Linked DNA regions of Canis lupus familiaris. The protein of the gene in region 1 interacts with the protein of each later gene in a biochemical or structural test. Links are inferred from orthologs where the notes say so. Each region holds a gene or a part of one and is shown on either strand. Other genes may lie near its edges. The genes, in order: MAP3K11, MAPK8IP1 and MAP2K7.

The links.
Region 2: the proteins of MAP3K11 (region 1) and MAPK8IP1 form a complex in vitro, tested with the Homo sapiens proteins (2 studies listed by BioGRID). The link is inferred for Canis lupus familiaris from reciprocal best matches to the Homo sapiens genes MAP3K11 and MAPK8IP1.
Region 3: of the proteins of MAP3K11 (region 1) and MAP2K7, one has a biochemical effect on the other in vitro, tested with the Homo sapiens proteins (2 studies listed by BioGRID). The link is inferred for Canis lupus familiaris from reciprocal best matches to the Homo sapiens genes MAP3K11 and MAP2K7.

Annotation. Positions count from the first base shown.
Region 1 is NC_049239.1:52,092,060-52,098,959, forward strand, and holds the start of MAP3K11 (mitogen-activated protein kinase kinase kinase 11), read left to right. Parts: upstream 1-2,465; 5' UTR 2,466-3,821; coding exon 3,822-4,560; intron 4,561-6,900. Other genes in the region: PCNX3 (pecanex-like protein 3), read right to left, coding at 1-36, 280-375, 475-514, 630-729, 957-1,144, 1,500-1,652. UniProt on the Homo sapiens protein: Activates the JUN N-terminal pathway. Required for serum-stimulated cell proliferation and for mitogen and cytokine activation of MAPK14 (p38), MAPK3 (ERK) and MAPK8 (JNK1) through phosphorylation and activation of MAP2K4/MKK4 and MAP2K7/MKK7.
Region 2 is NC_049239.1:43,956,698-43,963,405, reverse strand, and holds the start of MAPK8IP1 (C-Jun-amino-terminal kinase-interacting protein 1), read left to right. Parts: upstream 1-2,294; 5' UTR 2,295-2,344; coding exon 2,345-2,445; intron 2,446-6,708. UniProt on the Homo sapiens protein: The JNK-interacting protein (JIP) group of scaffold proteins selectively mediates JNK signaling by aggregating specific components of the MAPK cascade to form a functional JNK signaling module. Required for JNK activation in response to excitotoxic stress.
Region 3 is NC_049241.1:52,999,513-53,006,376, forward strand, and holds the start of MAP2K7 (dual specificity mitogen-activated protein kinase kinase 7), read left to right. Parts: upstream 1-2,391; 5' UTR 2,392-2,484; coding exon 2,485-2,608; intron 2,609-4,372; coding exon of another isoform or gene 4,373-4,420; intron 4,421-6,864. Other genes in the region: volume-regulated anion channel subunit LRRC8E, read left to right, coding at 1-136. UniProt on the Homo sapiens protein: Dual specificity protein kinase which acts as an essential component of the MAP kinase signal transduction pathway. Essential component of the stress-activated protein kinase/c-Jun N-terminal kinase (SAP/JNK) signaling pathway.

The DNA.
Region 1 (6,900 bases):
GGGCAGCCCCCGGGGGTGTCTGGGGAAGGTCTCCAACTATCAGAAAAAAGGAAGACAAAATGAGGGGAGGGCATGCTGCAAAAGGAACCAGCTGCTGAGGGGGTCCTGTGGCCAGGCCACAGGATGAGGTAGGCTACAGGACGGGGCAGATGGGGCAGGACAACGAGAAAGCCCCATCCTAAAGGACAAAGAGAGCTCCGGAGAAGCAAAAGTTGAGGTGACTCAAAGACCAGATAGCTAGTCCTCCCCCTAAGCCCCTGCCACGTCACCCCCACTCACTCAGTTTCTCCTGTGAGCTTAGCTTCAGCATCTCTCGATCCGCTGAGGTCACGATCACATTATTGCTGCCCTGCTCTCGCACCAGCTCCTTGATGTCTGCAACCACGGCCCCACAGGTGTCAGCAGGACTTCGAGGCATCGCTGTGCCATCTCATTCCACACCGCCAAATTCAGACCTGAGCAGCAGCCACCTACCTCTGAGGGGCCCAGAGTCCTCCATCCGGGGCAGCAGCTCCTGAGCAAAGAGAAAAATGAAGGAACAAAAAGAGTAAGAAGTAGACTCAGGACATACCCCAATGGGGATGGGCTCCCAGGAGAGGAGTGGGACGGGGTAGCTATGGACCACTCACCGAGACCTGGTTGAAGCCAAACACAGAATGCTGGGAGCTACAGCGTACCGGGGGTGTGGAACTCACTTTCCGAAACACTGTCATTTCCACTCCAGGGTCCCTAGCAGTGGAGAAAAGCATCAGCTTTCAGCTAACCTCCTGCCCCTTTATACTATACTTCCTCCACTACCCCAGCACTCCTTTCTTCTCAAAGGTCCTCTCACAAGTCTGGGGCTGACCACAGAACAAGTGCCCACCTGCTCATGGACCCAATGTCCCTAAGGCCCCAGTGCTTAAGCCCAGGCACTAAGCACCCTTAATTCCCAACACAGCCCCTCCGAGACTCACCTGGGCAGACTGCTGTCCCCCTGTGCAGGCTCCTCCTCTGGCTCCCCCATGGTAGAGTTACGCTTCTCCACAATCTCGCCCTGATCGAACATAGCGTGTAACCGATAGTTCACAGTCTTGATGGTAGTGAAGATGACAGCCACCACGAGGCAGTACACGCAGGCCACCATCAAGCTGGGGGGCAGGACCTGGAGGTGGCAACAAGTCAGGTTCCCCCTCACGCAGCCCTGTCCCTATGGGGTAGACCTACCACCAAAATCATAGCTAGTTCACAAGAGTTCATCACCCATCCCTCGGAACTGCTACAAAGACCCTCCTCAGGGAACTCTGTCCTCTTACTGAAGAGAAATTAAGTGAGAGACTCAAGGTCACCCAGCCCAGGAAAGGAATAATTTGGCCACTTCTCCATATACCCCCAAACTCTGCAGGGGGTCCTCTGTCTCCACAAGGCATATCCCCAAATCCCTGCCAGCTTGGCACCCCTCCGTGACATCTGCCCTCCCTTTCCCCAGAGGGGGGTTACAGGTGGCGGGAGCATCTCACCATGTACAGCAAGAAGGGAAAGGTGAGCAGGAAGATCCAGACATAAAGGTGGAAGCAGTTGGAGAAGGTGCTCTGGTGCGGGTCGAAGAACCAACCGCCGGTGAGCGAGGCCCACACCCCCTGGCGCAGGATCTGCAATACCTGCGACCCCATGGCCCCGCCGCTGCTGCGCGCGCCCCCCTCCCGGGACCCTCATGGGGGCGGCCGCCGGCCCACGCCCCGCCTGGCGCCCGAGGGCCCCGGGGCCCGGCCTCGCGCTCACGCCATGGCCTCCCACAGCCGGAGAGAGGGGTCGGCTGGGCGAGGGGGCGGGCAGGGGGCGGGGCCGACCCGGGCAGTCAGCGGTGCGAGGCCTGGACGCGGGGGTGGAGCCTCATCAGGGGCGGGGTCCAGGCCCCCACCCCTGGCCCACAACTGCTCCGAGAGGCCGAGCCGGTAGACAGGCGCGGGGCACGGGCCAGACCCTCGTCGGCGGCATCCAGAGATGGGCGTGGGGTGGGTGCTCCGGGGATGCAGGCGACGGCTCCCTCGGCTCCGGCCCGGGGAGAGCCCCGGGACCCTGAGGTCCACTTCCGGGGTTACAGGTCACTCGCTTCGGTCTCCGCGATCGCCCGGCTACTGCGGGACCCGGCCCAAGGGGGAGGCCGGAAGGAGCAGCGAGCCGCCAGCCAGCAGTGGCGCATGCGCCCGACCGGCCTAGTTGGGACCCGGAAAAGGAAAACTTGAAGGCATGAAACCTGACGCACGCGCAGGAAGGTCGTGGAGCGCTAAGACGCGGCGGAGCCCTTTGGGCGTGCGCGGAGTCCAGGCCTAAAAGAGCTCCAAAAGTGGTAGCGCTAGGGCGCATGCGCACGCCCAGGCGTTGTCCACCCAGCGGACACCCCTGGGCGGAACCGAAGGGATAGTTGAGTGGCCACTGAGTAATGGCGGGATTAATTGGCACAAAACTCTCTCAGTGAGTTACAGGAGGTGGAGCAAAAGGAGGCGTGGACTTCTCGGGGCTACTGCGATAGTTGTGCACCACCGAGGCACGCCCCTCTCGGTCCGCCCCTTTCAGTGTAGGACCGCGTACCCGCACTCACGCCCCAAGCAGCCTCTACTTCCGGGTCAGAGCTCAGACTTAGCGGGTGGAGAGCTACCCTCCAGAACAGGCATGAATAATAGAAATAGGATAGCGTCGCTTTTCTTAAAGTGACAGGCTCAAGGCAATGGGGGGGCGGGGTCTGTCCATCCAGCAGCTGTAAGGGCAATTTGGCTCTTCTGAATCCAACCACTGGGCGAAGTTCAGAATTACAGTCTCAGGTTTCCGCCCACTTGGCTTGGGGTGAAGAAGTGGATTGTTTCCCAGGTAAGGGGAAGAGGACAGTCTTAGACAACTCGTTCCAAGAGTTTGAGATGCAGCCAGTTCCGTCTTCCAGTCTTGCCCACTCCCATCCCAAGCAGAGCTTCTGGTCCCTATTTCAGCTATGAAGGGAAGGAGGCGAAAAGATGAGTTATGCAGTCCTGCAACTTCGGAGCCAAGACTAGGCTTGCCCCACTCCCAAGCCAGGTTCTTTACCCCGTTTTGCGGATGCGGATGCGGAAGGGATGGCCTGTCCTTAGCAAAGACCAACCCTGACCCTGAACCTTCTGCGATGGGTGTTCGGGGCGATCATCCCCTCCTGCCCTTCATTGCCCGCCTACCCGGGAACTCCCGGGACCGGCGCCGGCAGCCTCTGGGAGGGGAGCAGCGCTACCCGCCCGCGTCATCTGATGCTGTTTCCTGCAAGAAGGAGAAGAGCGGAAAAAAGTGAAACTCCACCCTCCACCTCTGCCTCCCGCCCCCGGGGCCAAAGTACAAAGGGAGGAGGAAGAAGGGAACGGGGTTGGAGCCGTCGGGCTGAGGGAGCCGGACTGGGAAGCGGCAGCTCGGCCAAACTAGGAACACGCCAGCCACCCCCTGCGCAAAGAGACCCAACGGAGTCCCCGCGCTGCCCGTTGCGGACCCCACCTTGCACTTGGCGAGTGCTGGAGCCAATCTCCCAGGACTGCTCTGGGACGGAGGGACTTCAGGCCCCTCCAAGCTGGCCATGGTGAGACGCAGGAGGCCCCGGGGTCCCACCCCCAGAGCCTGACCACACTGCCCTGGGTGGCCCTCTAGAAGCCCGAGATGCGGGGGGCCGGGAGTCAATACTCCTGGCTCCCCAGAGAGGTGTGGGTCTGGAGCTGAGGGCCAGGGCCCGGATGCCCAGGTTCCGGGACTAGGGCCTCAGCAGCCAGCAGGGGTGGGGACCAGGGGCACCCAGGGAAGATACCCTGCTTGCCCCCAAATCAACTCCAGCCATGGAGCCCTTGAAGAACCTCTTTCTCAAGAGCCCGCTGGGGTCATGGAACAGCAGTGGCGGTGGGGGCAGTGGGGGCAGTGGCGGAGGCTGGCCAGAGGGGTCCCCGAAGACAGCGGCTTATGCCAACCCCGTGTGGACAGCCCTGTTTGACTATGAGCCCAATGGGCAGGATGAACTGGCCCTGAGAAAGGGCGACCGTGTGGAGGTGCTGTCCCGGGATGCAGCTATCTCAGGCGATGAGGGCTGGTGGGCCGGCCAGGTGGGTGGCCAGGTGGGCATCTTTCCATCCAACTATGTGTCTCGGGGCGGTGGCCCACCCCCCTGCGAGGTGGCCAGCTTCCAAGAGCTGCGGCTGGAGGAGGTGATCGGCATCGGTGGCTTCGGCAAGGTCTACCGCGGCAGCTGGCGAGGTGAGCTGGTGGCTGTGAAGGCAGCTCGCCAGGACCCCGATGAGGACATCAGTGTGACAGCCGAGAGTGTGCGCCAGGAGGCCCGGCTTTTCGCCATGCTGGCACACCCCAACATCATTGCCCTCAAGGCCGTGTGCCTGGAGGAGCCCAACCTGTGCTTGGTGATGGAGTACGCAGCTGGTGGGCCCCTCAGCCGTGCCCTGGCTGGGCGGCGTGTGCCCCCCCACGTACTGGTCAACTGGGCTGTGCAGATTGCCCGTGGGATGCATTACCTGCACTGTGAGGCCCTGGTGCCTGTCATCCACCGAGACCTCAAGTCCAACAACAGTGAGTTTTGGGGAGCATGGTTGGAGGGTGGCATAGCCCAAGCACACACCAGCCAACTTCTCAGCTGAGTCCCCTGGGGATCTACTCGAGGCAGGAGCTCCTTCCCTAGGGGAGTCCTAGTAGAGTCGGGGTGCCATTTACCCACACTGGCCGCAAAGCAGGAGACCCAGGCACCGAACAGTCCTTCAAGCCCCAGCCTCAGGAGTCTTTGACCCTGGCTCACAGCCACCAGGTTAAAAAATTGGGATCTCTCAAGTGAGCCATAAGTGTCCTGCCTAACATGGGCACCACTTCAAGGCAGTAGAGCTCTGGATGCTGGCAGTCATCTTCTTCCCCCCCTAAAGTTCATGCCCATGCTGTTGATGCTCTGTTCTTGGGGTAGAAAGCTCCTCCAGAACAGAGATCTTGGAGAGGAAAGCCCCCACTAAACCCCGTGGTGGTCAAGGCTGGGGACAGGGCTGGAATTCTGGCTCTGCCCATACCCCTGACTACATGACCTTTAACTGGTTATTTCAACTCAGAGCCTCAATTTTGGACTCTGTAAAAAGGGAGTGACCAGGAAGGTGAAATGGTGTAAGGGGCTGGGTGAGCCTGGTGTCTGCTGCCTGGCACACAGTGGGTCTGCAGCTATGTGGGGGAACATTCGAGGGCTGGATCACCTAGAGGGCTTTGCCTGGAATTAGCACTTAGGGTGGGCCTGGTGGGGTTAAGGGAGACTCAAGCAGTCCAGTACAGCATCTCCAGCCATTTCAGGCCCAACACACTGCCCAGCATGGGCCCAAGACAAGCGAGTGACAGGTTCCGAGGGCTTCCTGGAGCAGATAAGCTTCACACCAGGCCCAAAGCAGGCACCCTGTTGGATGTTCAGGTAGAACACGACCAGAGCAAAGGCAAAGAGGCAGGACTCAGAGCCACCTACCGTGCCCCCAATAGTGGGGACACAGAGCTAGATTTGCCAGGGAAGGGGGGACCAGGGTCCAGGCTGTAGAGCAATAGGAAGTGCAGAAGGAGCTGATGGGTTATTGGAGAGGCTTGGGCAGCTCTTGGTGGGGGGTGAGCATAGATATTTTGGACCGCCTGGCTTGGGCTGGCCATATACAAGTGGCTTCTGGGGAGTAGGACGCCATAACCCAGTAATATCCGAGTCCTTGCCAGGCCCGGAGGGACAAGGAAAGGCCTGCCAGCCACCCCACCTACTCCTCTCATCCAGTGGGGTACTTCTCACTGCTCAGCCTGGTGCTAGCCCTCCAGGGACCCCCACTCCCTGCCCCAATCCAAGGGAGATTCCCCGAAGGCTTTGGGGGAGGGGACTCCCTTCTTCTGTTTTTCCTCCAGTTTTCTTTCCAGAAAAAATGGAACAATAGCCCAGGCCCCTGCTCCCCACCCTCCCCACTGCTTCCTGCGTTTCCTGCTGCCCCTGAGCCGGCTTCCTGCCCCTGCTCCAGCCTCTGCTCCCTCCCCACCCCAGCTGCCTGCCGGGGAGGAAAGAACCAAGGGAGGGGGGTGCTGTGGGAGAGGAAGGAGCCAGGGATTGCATCCCCCCCCTTCCCCTGTTTCTCTCCCAGAGTCTGGGTGATGGTGAAGGACAGGCCAGGTGCCCTCAGCCTCGCTGAGCCTGGCCTCCCACCTTGGAGACCCCAGTCCTCGGCTTGGGGTGCTGTCTGTGGGATGGTGGGGGGAGTCCCTGGGCTGGGGGGGGCAGAGGCAGGAAACAATGGCGTGATTTTCCTGGACAATGGGGGCCTTGTGAGGAAGCCTGGCGGGGAGTGGAGGGGGAATTCTCTGGGCCCACGAGTCACAGGACTGACCAGCCAGCCCAGCCTGGGTCAGACCTCCCCCAATTTCTCCCCCAAAGGACTCCCTTCCCAGTTGGAGACCTGGTCTCAGCCTCCCAGAAAGGAGAAGTAGGGACCATGGGAGGGAAGCGGAAGAGGCGTGAGCTGCCCAGGCCACTCCCTGGCCCCACAGAGGCTGGCCTGGGGAGGGGGGTGGGGGCCAGGGCCCTGAATGGGACTGAGCTTGGGGTCTCCAGCCTTCTCCGCTCCAGGTGGCCCCTGACCACCCCTTCCCCAAGGTCCATATCAGACACCAAAGGGGCAGATCAGGTTGGGACAAATTCAAGGCACTTGGAAAAAAGCAGGGGATGCAGAGGTGAGGATGAGGCTTCAGAAGTGTCAGGCCAAGTTGGTGGTGGGAGGTGACAGGCCATTAGGACAAAGATGTCCCAAGATTTTGGATGAGAGGCTGCGTGTCTTTGGGCTTCAGATTACCTGATGGAAAAGGGGAGGCTGGCCCCCCAGCCAGAGAGGCTGGTGCAGAAGCCCTTCACTGGTCTGTGAG
Region 2 (6,708 bases), about 8.1 Mb from region 1:
CAGAATGGTACAGAGTACTCCAGGCCTAAGATGAGGTTCCCGAGTGCTATCCTGCAGTGCCTCTGCCTCTCAGGCCACCTAAAGTTCCAGGGCTGAGGATCAGTCAGTGGCAGCAGGGCTCTCTCCAGGCCCTCAATCCATCCTTTATCTTGATTCAGCCACTTAAGCACCGTGTGGTGTGCAGGGGATGCAGGCGGCAAGCACGGACTCTGGCTGGGTGGTTGAGATCTGCCCGCAGCCAGGCCCAGGGCCTGGATGCTGGCTTTGCCTCATGCCATCTGGCCAGAGAGCGGCCTCTCTCTGCAGCATATGTGGGCTTTTCTATGATGGTCTCTAGCCTTGGGCCACAGAAAGACTTTTGTTAATACACCACACCCCAACTTCGTGTGGGCAGGGGCTCAGAGAGGGCCCAAGGATACACAAAATGCCCTGCACAGAATGAGAAAGGGGGAAACGGGAGGAGCTTGGGATTCATTTCATTCTTAGATCTGCTTTGAAGCTCCTTCCCACCAAGACCTGGACCTGCCCGTCCCCCCTCCCTTCTCCTGGCTTCTCTCTAATGTGACTTTGGCTTGGCCTCAGGAGCTACAATAGCTTTGTTCTCCAGCAGAAGATTCTGGAGAATGAAGTTGTCTTACACACACACTCCTGACCTGAAGATGCTCCCAGCTGAGGCAAGCACACACTCTTAAGCAACAATTATTAACCTCTAGGCCAAGACCACTTCCTGGAAGCAAAAGCCAGGCATCTGAGCAGAAGGTGGCTACTGTTTGGTCCTAGTGAAAGGAGGCTGAGCCAAGATAGCAAGAAAGGTAAAGTGGCCACTCCTCTGGGCCCACAGGCAGGGAGAAGAGCCTTTGGCAGTAGGTAATGGGATGTTCTTGGGGCTGGAGGTGGGGAGTTGTTTCCTGCAGGGCACGTGACTGCAGCTCCTTTCTGGGTGCTACATTGAAGGAAAAGGGAGTGGTGTGACCAGTAGGCAGTCCAGATTTGCAAATAGGATCCCACAAGCTGTGAAACAGTTTGCCCCTTCTTCGGAAAGAAGTAAGGACAGAGCCTCCGCAGTTCTCAGGAGGCCAGAGAGACCAATGAGGTTTGGTCAGAGGCTCTTGACCCACCAAAGCTGGGGCCCTAGCCTTGCCAGCAGTTTGAGTGTCCAGCAGTCTGTGTTCTGTAAAAGAACTCACAGGCTTAGCCCTCGTAGGGGAGAGACCAGAAAGGAACTGTGGCCCCAAACTAGCAGGGGTAGAGGTGCTGGAAGGAACAGAAAAACCATAAGAAGAATCCCAAGAAGTCAACCATGGCAGCAGGAGGAAAAGTGGCTCCTACTCTTAGAATGTGGGAAACCAGCTATGGGGTGTCTGTGGGTGCAAATGAGAAGTTCTCTGCAGGAAATGCAATTGAGAGAAATCTGGGAAAGTCCTGGTGTGAGGGAGGAGAAACAGAGAAGCCTAGAGAAAGGTTCAGTTCCCCATTAATAACTGGGTCAATCTTTAGAGAGAAAATCTTCTAGGGAGAGTCCATGAGAGGGTCTCCTCAAGGGGACAGGACTGGGTGAGACCTGGGTTCTAGGCAGAGGTGGGGTATTCCCTGCCGCCGGTGACAACATATTTGTATTACTTTTCATCCTCACAACCACGAGAGGGACCATTACTGTCCTCATTTCACAGATGAGAAAACTTAGGATCCGTGAAGTCACTAATGCAAGGCCACACCACCTATTCACTTGGGAAGCCAGGCTGTGACTTCACACCACCTGACTCCAACCCCGGCTTGCCCTGGGAGCCCACGCCGACACCATGTCGCCTTCCTCCTCCTTCCTCCATGGCCCTCCGGTCCTGCCCGCCTTCTTTGTCTGCTGCTGGGGGCCACTAGGGCCCAGGGGACCGGGTCCCGCCATTAGCTCCCTCATGCCCGGGCGCCAGGCCCCCCCGAGGGCGCAGAGCCCGCACCGCGCGAGGGCTTTGCGGGAGGGGGAGGAGGGCGGAGGGATCCGCGTGGGCGCGGGGGCCGCGGGGGCCGCCGCTTCAGCACCTCGGAGAGCGCCGGGGCGGGGCCGGGGCGGGGCCGGGGCGGGGCCGGGGCGGGGCCGGGGCGGGGCGCACGAGACCCCGGCGAGGGCCCGGGGACGCGCGGCGGCGCTCGCGCCAGTCCCGGGAGCGGCGCGCGGTCCGGAGCCGCGCCCTGCCCTGCGCAGGTGCGCCCGCCGCGCCCGCCCCAGCCCGAGCCCCGCGGCGGCGGCGGCCTCTCCGCGCGCCCGCCTCCGTCCCCTCCGCCGCCGCCGCCTTCGCCGCCGCCGCCTCTGCGCCGCGCTCCGCCCGGATGGCCAGGGCTGTGCCGGGGAATGGCGGAGCGAGAGAGCGGCGGCCTGGGCGGGGGGGCCGCGTCCCCGCCTGCCGCCTCCCCGTTCCTGGGGCTGCACATCGCGTCGCCGCCCAATTTCAGGTGAGAGTCCCCGGCCGCCGCGCCCCGCCCTTCGGCCCGGGTAATCTGCGCCGGCCCCCGCCGCCCGCCGCCCCCCGCCCCCAACACGCACACACCGACCTGGGGAACGCAGGGGCTGCGCGGGGAGGGGGTCTCCTCCCTGGGCAGGGTCCCCAGAAACCCCCTCAGCCCCCCGTCCCGCCGGATAGCCGCTGCAGAGCCAACGGTGCGGCTCCCTCCGCCATTCCATGCCCCAGGCTAGGAGATTCTAGAGGGAACTGGAGGGGGGGGCGCAGAGGCCGCCTTCTCCCCCACTTTGGGACTGCGGCAGGGCCTGGGGTCCGGATTGAGACAGCGGAGGAGGCAGGCAGGCTAATGCTCTGCTTCTGCCCAGTCCACAGGATTCTGAATAGACATGGGTGCGGGGATGGGGTGCCTCGTGGCTCCCAGTTTCTTGGGGCAACTGACAACCTTGGTGCCGGAAGGAGGAAGTCGTGGGCCCCTCCCCCAGCCCTGTCTGGTCAGAGGGGCCTAACTCCCAGGACTGGCATGGTCAGGACCCCTGTGGACTTGGGTGGGCAAGCACTGACCTGGTCAGGTGTGTGCAGGCACGGAAGGCTCCGACCCATTCAGGAGACACTACGCCCAGCTTTGGTTGAGGGAGTCTGGTTTGGACAGCCCAGGAGTAGCCAAGGACACTGGGTGGAAGGTTTCCCTGCTGGAGCAGGTCCCCAGGACCGTGGTCTGAGCTCCCTTTCTCCCCCCTCTCTGCCGGTTATCTGCTATTAGGCAATTGGGAGGTGGATTTTAGGGAAGTGGGCAGTGGGTGTTGTGGGCAAGGGATGGATATCCCTCCACCATAATCCTGGCCCCATTTGGAGAGGAGGAAGAAGACAGTGTAACTGCTCCAGAGCCTAGGAGGAGGCCTAGACGTACCCCATTGTTTCTCCATCTAATGAGCCGGCGCCTTCCCCTCTCCTGGGCCCCCCACCCCAGCCGGGCCCCAGCTGGGCTCTGGCGCCAGCCCCTCTCTGACCAAGGGGTTGCTGGCTCCCTGGCCCTCAGGTGGGTAGGAACCCCTGAGGATCTCTAATGGCATCAGCAGCAGTAGAAACTTCCCTTGAGGCCCTGAGCTGAGAAGCTGGGAAGACCAGAGGGAGGGGACCAGATGGAGGAGGCCAAGTGTGAGGGCTCCAGGGCCGGGGCCTTTGTGATTGGTGCCTCTTGAATAATGAGGCTGAGGTCTGAGACCAGTTTCCCCTGGCCAAGCTGCCAAGAGGCAAATATTGCCTTCCTGCTGGGAGGCCCCTCTGCAGTGGAACAGCTGAGAGGGACCTGGGTTCAAATTCGAGCTCCACCACTTGCTAGCTGAGCGACCTGACAGTCCCATCTGACAGGTGAGCTAATATTGATTCCTTCGTGTGCATCAAGTCGGTGCTCAACAAGTGTCTGCCCTCCATGCTGGTGAGCATTTATATAGCTCATCACTGCTCGGAGCTTTCCCAGGGGCAGGCTCGTTTACCCTCATGGCCGTGGGGGTCGGTCTGCCCATTTTATAGATGACAAGATCGAGGTTCAGCAGGCAGTGGTTTGCCTGAGGACCCCGCAGAAGTCAGAGCCTCGGGCCGTCTCTGGGTGTTCAGTCCACTCGGTCGCCAGGCCCTGTCTGTGGCCCGGAGGACAGCTTTGCCTCCCTCCACCTGCTTCCAGACCCCCAGGTGACAGTGCCCTCCCCTGGCAGGCAGGTTATCCTGGATGCTTTAGTGAGAGGGACTGATGAGGTGGACGCCAGCCAGTGAGTATGCACTCTGGGCCAGGTGGGTGAGAACAGCAGTGCGCCACGGCCAAGGCGTGGGCCAGCCCTCCAGGACACCATGGCCTGGCCGTGGGGACAAGGGCAGCTTCTGGAAATAATAAGGGCAGTGTCTCCGGCCCCACGTGGCCTGCCCTGCCTGCTCCAGCAGCCCCCGCTGACCTTTCCCTTGTCCTGCCTCGCCTGGCCCCTCACCCAGCTCGGGATAACCCTGGGTGTTGCCGCTCTCTCGTGGTCATGGATCCGACTGGCCTGGGTGTGCAGGCTGGCTCAGCCTCCTTAGCTGTGTGCCCCAAGACTGTTGGCTCCTGCTCAGGACGGTCCTGGGACTTGGATGGGACACGTGTTGAGTGTTTCAAGGGCTGCGGAGAGCTGCGTTCACGCAGGGCTGTGGTTGTTACTGTGTGTGTGCCCCCAGCACTGCTGTCAGCTTCCAGAAGGCATAGGAGGCAGTCCCTAGACTTCGGCCTGCCCAGTGCCCGGCACAGAGTAGGCGCTCAGTAATGCTGTACTGGGTTATTATGAAGGATCAGTTGTGCGCTGTCCTCCTGGAGCTCAGAGCATAACAGTGCGTGTTGTCAGAGGATAAGGGGGTGGGGGGGACGCTGGCCCCGGGGAGGCGCTCACTTTGCCCAGCACCCTCCCAAGGGCTTTCTACGCAAGAGCATCCTCACCAGGGCTGTATAAACAGAGCGTTACTATTATCCCCACTTTGCAGATGAAGAAACGGAGGCAGACAGAGGCTAGGGTGGCAGAGGTGGGGTCTGAATGCAGGCAGTCTGGCTTCAGGGCCACCCTGAAAAGGGGGAGCTCTGGAATAGCGGGGGGTGGTGTGCAGGGAGTAAGCACGGGGTGGACGTGGAAGCCGGAGAGGGAGCATTTGTTTGCTGCTGGTTGGTTTAAATAGACAGGTGTTCCTTCTTTGCTCCCCCTTCTGATTGTAGAAATGCTCCATCCAGTTACCTGCAGTTACCTCCAGATGTGGTATCGGGGGAGGGATTTCACTTATTTTACGCACTTCTATGATCATTTGACATCTTACTTCTGCAAGGAGCATAGGTCACTTCTGTAACTTCCAAAATTAGACAAGCGAATTTAAAACTCAAGTGATACCTGTTCATTGTAAGGAAAACTCCAGAAAAGAGACTTTAGAAACGTACCCAACGCATACACTGAGCTGGGTAGGTGGGATAAAGGGGAGGGACAGTGGGACGGTGCCTGTGGGGCGACGCCGGGTGCCCATGGGCAGTCCAGCGGGCAGCCCGCCCTGGACACGTGGGAGGAGAGCCGTGGATGAGGGGACCTCAGAAACCTCCTCCTCCCCGCCACCCCTCCCCGTTTACTGAGGGGGGCGCAGGAGATGGCGAGTGGCAGACCCTGGGCCTCCTGGCTGCCGGATGGTGTGGCTTTTACGTCGCCCTGCTGCCTTGCGGATGGAGCTGTGGCCACCGAGGGGGGCGCAGAGAGCTCCTCATTCTCCCCCCAGGACGGTACACACGTGGCTGTTCCTTTGCTCACTTGACTTTGCACTTTGGCGGCCTCCCTGGTCAGCTGCTCCGCAGGCGCAGGCACTGCCCGACCATCATGCAGGTGGCCGTGTAGAGGGGACATGGACAGACAGACGAGGGCTGGCCAGAGCGGCCAGCAGGGGCGGTCAGAGGCCCAGGGCCCCGCCCCGTCGGAGGCGGCAGGGCTTCAGCAGGAAGGGCAGCCCTGGATGGCTGTCTCAGGAGGGTCGCTGGGCCCTCCTGCCTGGGACCTGGCGGGGGGGGGGGGCAGGAGGGGACAGGAGGAAGACTGGGGGGCTGGCTTCACCCACTTGCTGAGGTATGTGCCCTGAGGGGTTGGGGCGCCAGGGGTCCGGGTGCTGGGCCCCTTGGGGATGGGACACCCTGTGGGCCATGAGAGGCTTGGTGGGCACGGAGGCAAAATTAGGAGGAGACCTCCTGAGTTTGCAGAGGGTGACCCTTCCCTGGGGACCCACTGGAGCGTTCGGGGCAGGGCATTGGGGGAGGCGCCTGGGGCGCCTGGAGAGGGTGGGGCCAGACCACAGATGCGGGGCGGCCCAGCTTAGAGAGCCCCACTGGGGCCTCAGAACATTCCTACCCAGGGGGCAGCAGAGAGCAGGGAGCCGGCCGCAGGTTCCAGCAGCCCCGTTTCCGCCGGGTGACTGCAAAGCTATTGCTGCTGGAGCTGCCCTCCCCCACCCTAGGCTCTGGGCAGCCCCCCAACCCAGCGAACCCCCAGTGTGGGGGCGCGGCGTTGACCTGCCTCACTTGCTGGGACAGGGCCACGGCAGGGTGCCCCCCCACCACCACCACCTCTTTGATGTCTGAGCCTTGAAGTCGGTCTCAGGGTTCTTGGCTTGGGCTCCCCGCACCATGGATCCTACAAAATGGGGTCACCGCCACCAGCCCTGCTTAGGGGCTCTTACCCATTCTAGGATGTGATCTCTGTCCCCGGCCCCCCTC
Region 3 (6,864 bases), on another chromosome or scaffold:
CAAGGGCAACCGCTTGGAGGCACTACCAGAAGAGCTTGGCAACTGTGTGGGGCTCAAGAAAGTGGGGATCCTCGTAGAAGACACCCTTTACGAGGGCCTGCCGGCAGAGGTGCGGGAGAAACTGGAGGAGGAATGAAGCAAAGGTGGGGAAGGCTGGGTAGAGGCCTTCTGGATGCTTCCACTGCAGAATCTCTACTACTGTCTTCAAGAGAGGTGGCCAAGAGGGCCCAGGCCAGGAGAGAAGGAGCAGACGCATCAGCCACCATGGGTTCCAGGCAAGATCCTGGGACTGGTTTGTCTGAGAAGAGATGAGAGGCTGTGGATTTGGGGTGGAACGTCGTAGAGGGATTAACTCAGTCATAGGATTCTCAGACCCAAACCACACCTGCGTCTTTGGCTGGCTGTCCTGCCCACACCCTGGACATTCTGGCCTAGTTAGTGCCATATATGGGGTTGGGGCACATCCCAATGGGATTTCAGCCCTTTCCCCCACCCCTCAAAACACCTTATAGCTGGTGTTCTCTCCCAAGGAGGGGACACAGACACAAGGGACTAATGAGTGACCCTTGCCCCCAACTTTGATGCCAAATCCTTATTTATAAGTTGTTTGCTATGGACACGCAAAATCAGAAAAATGGTTCTCGTGTTTGGCTATGCATCAAAATCAACATCCCCAAAACAAAACATCCTGGGCCCCACCCCTGAAAGACTGACTCAGGTCTGGCTGGAGGCCAGGAACCTGCCTGCAAATACACATCCCAGGTAATTCTGATGCAGGTGGTCCTAGACCTGTGTGTTGGGAATTGCGGACCTACAGAATCTGCAAGTCCAGAGCAGGGATTCTGAACCCTTTCTAAGTCCTACACCTTTTGAACATCTGAGAAAAGCTGGGTGTTTCCTTTCCCAGGAAAATGCTCAGGTACACATACATGCAAAGTTCCGCAAGCAACTTTAGGCAGTCAGCAAATTCCCCCAGATTTCCCAGAGGGCCATTCACGGACATCCTAAGGATGGCAGACTCCAGTGTTAAGAATGCCTGCCGAGGAGGTTAAATTTTTCTGAGCAGAGGCAGGGATTTTGTCTTTCCAGTGTTTCCTGTGTGAGAGAGCATCTACCAGTGGGTGCTTAATAAATAATCTGAATTATGAGAACTAAACTTCCGATCTCTGGTATCCACTCCTGTTTGTCTAAGCCTTCCATTTCGCCAGACCAATAACAGGCAAGCAATGACACTCACATGGCGGAATCAAGGGTATGAGTTTCTGTCCTGGAAGCAGAGGCAGGAGAGACCTCGGCTTATCAGGCATCATCTGCGTAGCTATTTTTTGGAGAACTCTCTTTCTTCTCCATTCCTTATTATTCTCCGGACTCCACACTCTCGCATCTGTTCCACCCGCAAATTGTCACCACGGGAGTCCCCACAAGCCTTCCGCGCCCGCCAGTGTTCCCGTGCTGGACCAGGAGCAGGAAGGGCATAGGGCACAGCCTGCCTGACCTGGACCTCCCGGGCCTGGACACCTCAAGGAGTCTGAAAAAATGCGAGCCTCTTCCTCGCAACTGAGAGCAGACGCAAGCTGCTTTCCGAAATCCAGGATCCCAGATGGGGGCATTTTCCCGGGCGCCCACAGACCAGTTGAGCCGCGAGGAGACCAGGCTGAGGCGCCCTAACATCCAGGCCCATCTTCCGCACTGTCCAGGAGCTGGGCTCACATTCCGGGGTTGGGAAGATGAAAGTCCTAAAATACCCCATTTGAGGGGGCTGACCTGGAACTCTTCTGGCCCTGCCCCTCACCCTGTCCGGAGATCAGGGGTCATGCCCCTGGTCCTGGGGCCCCTCCAGTGACCGAGCCCTACCCTGCCCCTCCCGCCAGCCCTTGGCCAACCCCGAGTTTGCTGAAATAGAAAGGGCTCCCCACGGGCGCCTAATTATGGTGAAGAGACAGCAATTAAGCCTAACAGGGATCCTAATGAAGCACTGTCCCAGACGAGAAAGGCAGTGCTGGGAGAGCGTGGGTGCCAGAAAACAGGCCGGGAGGGGAAGAGCGAGAACGAAGCTGGGGAGGACACGCTGCAAGAGCTACTCCCAGCAACAGGGGCAGAGAAGCGAGCCAAGGTTGCGCAGGCGCAGTAAAGGCCGCGCGCGGGATCGCGTCCGCGCCTCTGCACGCAGGCGCGCCGCTCTCCCCGCCCGCCGCTCTCGGCCCAACAGTGTGAATGGATTGCCACACGCAGTCCGCGCATGCGCACCACCAGGAGAGGCGTTGCTCGTTGCCAGACGCGAGCTCTAGGTGGCGTCATCCCTCCAGCTGGGAAGAGGCACGCATGCGCGGACGTTAGCACGAGGGATGGGCGAGTGCGCGCCGCGGGCATGCGCCGTGCGGGGAGAGACGGCGGCTCGGCGGGGTCATCCAGGCGCAAGCGCAGTGCGGTGTTTGTCTGCCGGACTGACGGGCGGCCGGGCGGTGCGCGGCGGCGGCGGGGAAGATGGCGGCGTCCTCCCTGGAGCAGAAGCTGTCCCGCCTGGAAGCAAAGCTGAAGCAGGAGAACCGCGAGGCCCGGCGGAGGATCGACCTCAACCTGGATATCAGCCCCCAGCGGCCCAGGCCCAGTAAGCACGGCAGCGTGGGGGAGGGGGCGGGCGGGGCGGGGCGCGCGCCGCGGGAGGCCCCGCCCCCGCCGTCAGGCCCCGCCCCCGCTTCCGGGGCGCTCTGGCTCCTCCTCCTCCCCACCCCATACCCCCTGCTGTCGGCTCGCGCGGAGAGGGTCACGGTGACCCGGGGGGCGTGGGGCCGCGGGCTCCCGGGCGGCTCTGCCCCCAACGTAGGGGTTCCCCCTCACGGGGCCTACGAGCCTAGTTACCCGGCAAGGCCCCCCACCTGACGGCCCGCCCCCTCCGCGGGATCCTCAGAGCCTATGTCACCGTCACCTACCCAGAGCCGGAGCCGCGCTCCCTCCAATGCATGCGACTGTGACCACATCCAGGTTCGTCGCAAACACGGACACGTCTCTTCCGACCGGACGACTTCACTCCTGCCATCTCAGTGACTGGCAGGAGGCCCCTTTCCCCTTCGGCACCTGGGTCCCTGTCATATGGTTTAGTGGGGGATGCGCTCACACTCACACACAAGCACACTTGGCCCAGGTGACACCTGAGGTCATTTGATCACTGTAACTCCCTATTCCTCTGACCCCCTTTCCTGTGACTGTGTCTGGTAATCCCTTTTTCCCCCGGGCGGGGACCTTGTAATTGGGCCTGGGGGGCCCCCCCTCCCACGCACACCCTACCCACATACACCAGGCCCCTTCATACTTCTCTGACCCGTTTCACTGCCACCATCTTGGTGACTGTCTAGCTTCTCAAAAAATACACACCGAACTCTCAGCTTGGCAACTTTCGCCCACTGGACTCGAGTGACTTCCTCTTTCCTGCACGCCCACACTCACCTGGCCTAGGGATACCTGAAGCCAAGGTGGTGATATCTAGACCTCCCAGCCCACACACACCTCGTATCTGATCCCACTATCTCTGTGTATCTCCCTGCATCTTGTTGCCTGGAATCAAAAGCTGCCTCCTCCTGCCCTCCCCCACCCAACAATCACACCTGACCTGGGATTGCCACGACCACTGGACCACTGTCTAGTTTCTTTGTTATGTCCCACTGAACCCCCCTCCCCAAATCTCTCAGCTGGAGGGCATCGGGTCTTCACCCTCCCCACAGACCTGATGGGTAGCACCTCATCACGCACTTTGTGTCTCTCTCTTGAGCTGGCAAATTGCCCTCCTTTGTACTTCTGATATGATCCCTGTAGCTTATGTAGCTCCCTGTGGGGTCATCCTGGTAGGAGGGGGAACACACCCCCATGTCAGAGTATTGCAGTCACTCCCCGCTCACCCAGCCTGATCTTCACGGCCTGACTGCCCCCCAGTCCCTGGGTGCGCTTCACTCCCCATCTCTCTCTCTTCTGATTTGGGGTGGTGTGGGTTCCTCCCTGGGGCAGAAAGGCCTCCCAGGACTGGAGGGTCCCTGCTGGGCTCTGCAGTGCTGCCTCCCCTGGCCCCAGCATGGAAGAGACAGGGCTGGGTCTGGGGCCAGGGGTGCCTTACAGGGTGGCTGTCCCAGAGTGAGGTATGGTGAGGCCCACGGCGGGCAGGCCCCTGAGGAGCCCCCTTCAGGTGTCTGTGTCTGTGTCAGCTCCATCTCATCCTCCCGGTCCTCCCATTTCTGTCGGTTTCTACCCGTCTCTGCAGTTTGGTGCCTCGCGCCTCCCCCTCTTCCTCGTTATGATTTGATTTCTTTTCTTTTGGACAAATCAGTTGTTTCTGTTGTGATTTATCGTGGTGTTGTTTTTTTTCTTCCTTTTCCCCATCCAGTTATTGTGATCACTCTAAGCCCTGCTCCTGCCCCGTCCCAACGAGCAGGTACCAGCCTTTTTATCATCGTCGCTTGGACATCTGCACCATTGACCTAACCGCTGCCCCGCCGCAGAATGCCCTCCCCCCCACCCCCCATGCTGTGTGTGCGTGTGTGCGCCTGTCACTCTTTTCTCCTTCCACACAATCAGTGATCAACAGTGTTTGGCCCACTTGGCCAATTCTGTGTCCGCTCACCTTCCACTCCTCCCTTCCTGGCGGGCTCAGGTTTGGACTCCCTGGAAGAGGAAGTGGGCTCCTTTACTGACCAGGAGTCTGCCGCCTGTGAGAGGTCGCACGTGTGAGTGAGCGTATGAGAGAGAGAGAGGGAAAGTTGGGCTAGGCCATCGGGCTGTGCCTGTTGATTTGTTTCAACCGTACAGCCAACATGTACTGCCCTGCTCTAGGGACACAGCAGCGAACAGAACGGACCAAGGGCCCCTCGTTGTGTGGCTGACGCTCACTGACAGCATTCTCCTGGTCTGGGAGAAGTGGACAAAGCAGTGATGCTTTGTAGAAAAGGCAAAGTAGAGCCAGCTTGGGGTTCTGCAAGGGGTGGTCAGTCGGGGAAGCCTCTAGAGCAGCTGGGATTACAGCACAGGCTCGGGGGAGGTGGGGAGATGTGAATGAAGGTAGAGGAAGCAGCCCGCCGAGGCCTGAGGCCGGAGCGCAGTTACTTGCGGGTCTGGAGCAGATGGGGAGGGTGTGCATGTGTATATGTGAGAGAGAGAGTGTGAGAGCAAGAGAGACAGACACCTGGGTGAGGTCTGGTCCAGTTGGCCCTTGTGTAGGGGGAGCTAAATTGGGCAGGTTGTGTGTGTGTGTGTCTGTGTGTGTGTGTGTGTGTGTGTGTGTAAGACAGCGTGAGGCTGGCCCTGTTCAGGGCTCTCGGCATGTTGTCTGTACACGTGTGGGGGTTTGTGCCATGCGCTGTGTGTGTGCGCGTACATACGTGTTGGACTGACAGCCTGGTACATCTGTGGCTCCTTTTGGCCATGTGTTTCCATGCGCTCTTGTTCTCTCTCTCTCTTTCTCTCTTGTTCAGCCTCTTGCTCTCACTGTGCCCTCCTGACCTGCCGTGTGGCCTGTCACCACCTCTGTAACCTCTGTTCTCAGGGCCTTTGTGTACTTCCCCTCCCCCCACCTTAGCCACCCTTCACTGGTCACCCTCAAGTACCCACCGTGTTTCAGTTTGTAGGACCACTGGGAGCATCTCCCTTCCCGCCCCAAGAAGTGTGGAGAGGGTAGGGGTGTGGTCCTCATCCCAGAGAGGACCTGACCATGCGGGGCAGAAAAGGGGCCCAGACACCCCCCAGGGAGTGAGAGCCTGGCAGTGTCCCCAGAGAGTCCAGGTACAGGGGAGCATGGGGGCCTTCAGATGCCCCTGAGGTTGTTGAGCCAGAAAGAGAGGGGTTAGGACTCTGACTCTGGCCCTCACAGAGTAGTGAAGCAAGGGCGTAACACAGAGAGGGACTAGAGCAGGAGAGAGGGAGCACAGGAGGTGAGGCCTGCAGGCCAGGGCAGGGTGCTGGGCCTGGCCATCTCCCTGGGGTCCCCAGAGCTCTTATTTTGCTCTGACCAGGCATGAGAAGACCTGTATCCCTCCTACGACTGCAGGCTAGGATCACGTAGCTGCTCCCTCGCTCTACATGTGGCCAGGGTCCAGGGTAACAAGGCAGAGAAAGTGCCCCGATACCAGCAATTCAAGCATATTTGTCTCTGTCCTTTGGGCCCATATCACCAGGTGCTTGCAGAACTGTGGGAGGAAGGGGTGGACCGTGGCAGGAGGCGTAGGCAGAGGAGAGGGTGTCAGTTGAGGGTTGTGGGAGAGTTGCAGGCCCCAGGCCTCCTGGCCATTCTCCACGGAAAGGTCCTCTTCTGGCCCCACTTAGCTTTTTCAGCCAGTGCCCTACCCAGCTAGGGATCCCATTCCAGAGCACCAGGGCCTGGGGTACGAGGGTTCAGTGGGGGATCATGTCTTCTCCAGGGGCACATGGGGCTCTGGTCCCCCACCTTGTTGCCAGCCCAGCCAGGGAGGATCCTAGCCCTTCAGGGAACCTGCTGTCCTGTCCCGGGCCCCTGTCTGGCCTGTCTCTGCAGTGCCTCCTCTGGGCAGCTGGGCCCCAAGTCCTGGCTCCCATCTGTCTGTCTGTCTCCTGCCCTCCCGATACCCGAATGCCGCCTGCCCATCCTGGGGTGTCCGCTGCCTGCCCGCTGCCTGCCTGCCTGCCTGTAGCATGCCCAAGCTGTCCGCATGCAGGCTGCTGAGAAGACCCCACTGCCTGTCCCGCTCCCCACCCCCCATCCCACCAGCCCTTGGAGGGGCTGTGCCACCTGGATCCCCTCACCCAAAGGACACAGGCCCAGCCTGGTGTCCTGTCCCCCCACCCATTGGCCCCAGCTTTGCAGGCCAAGCCGGGAGGCTCAGAGATGAGCCTGCTGGCTAGAATGTG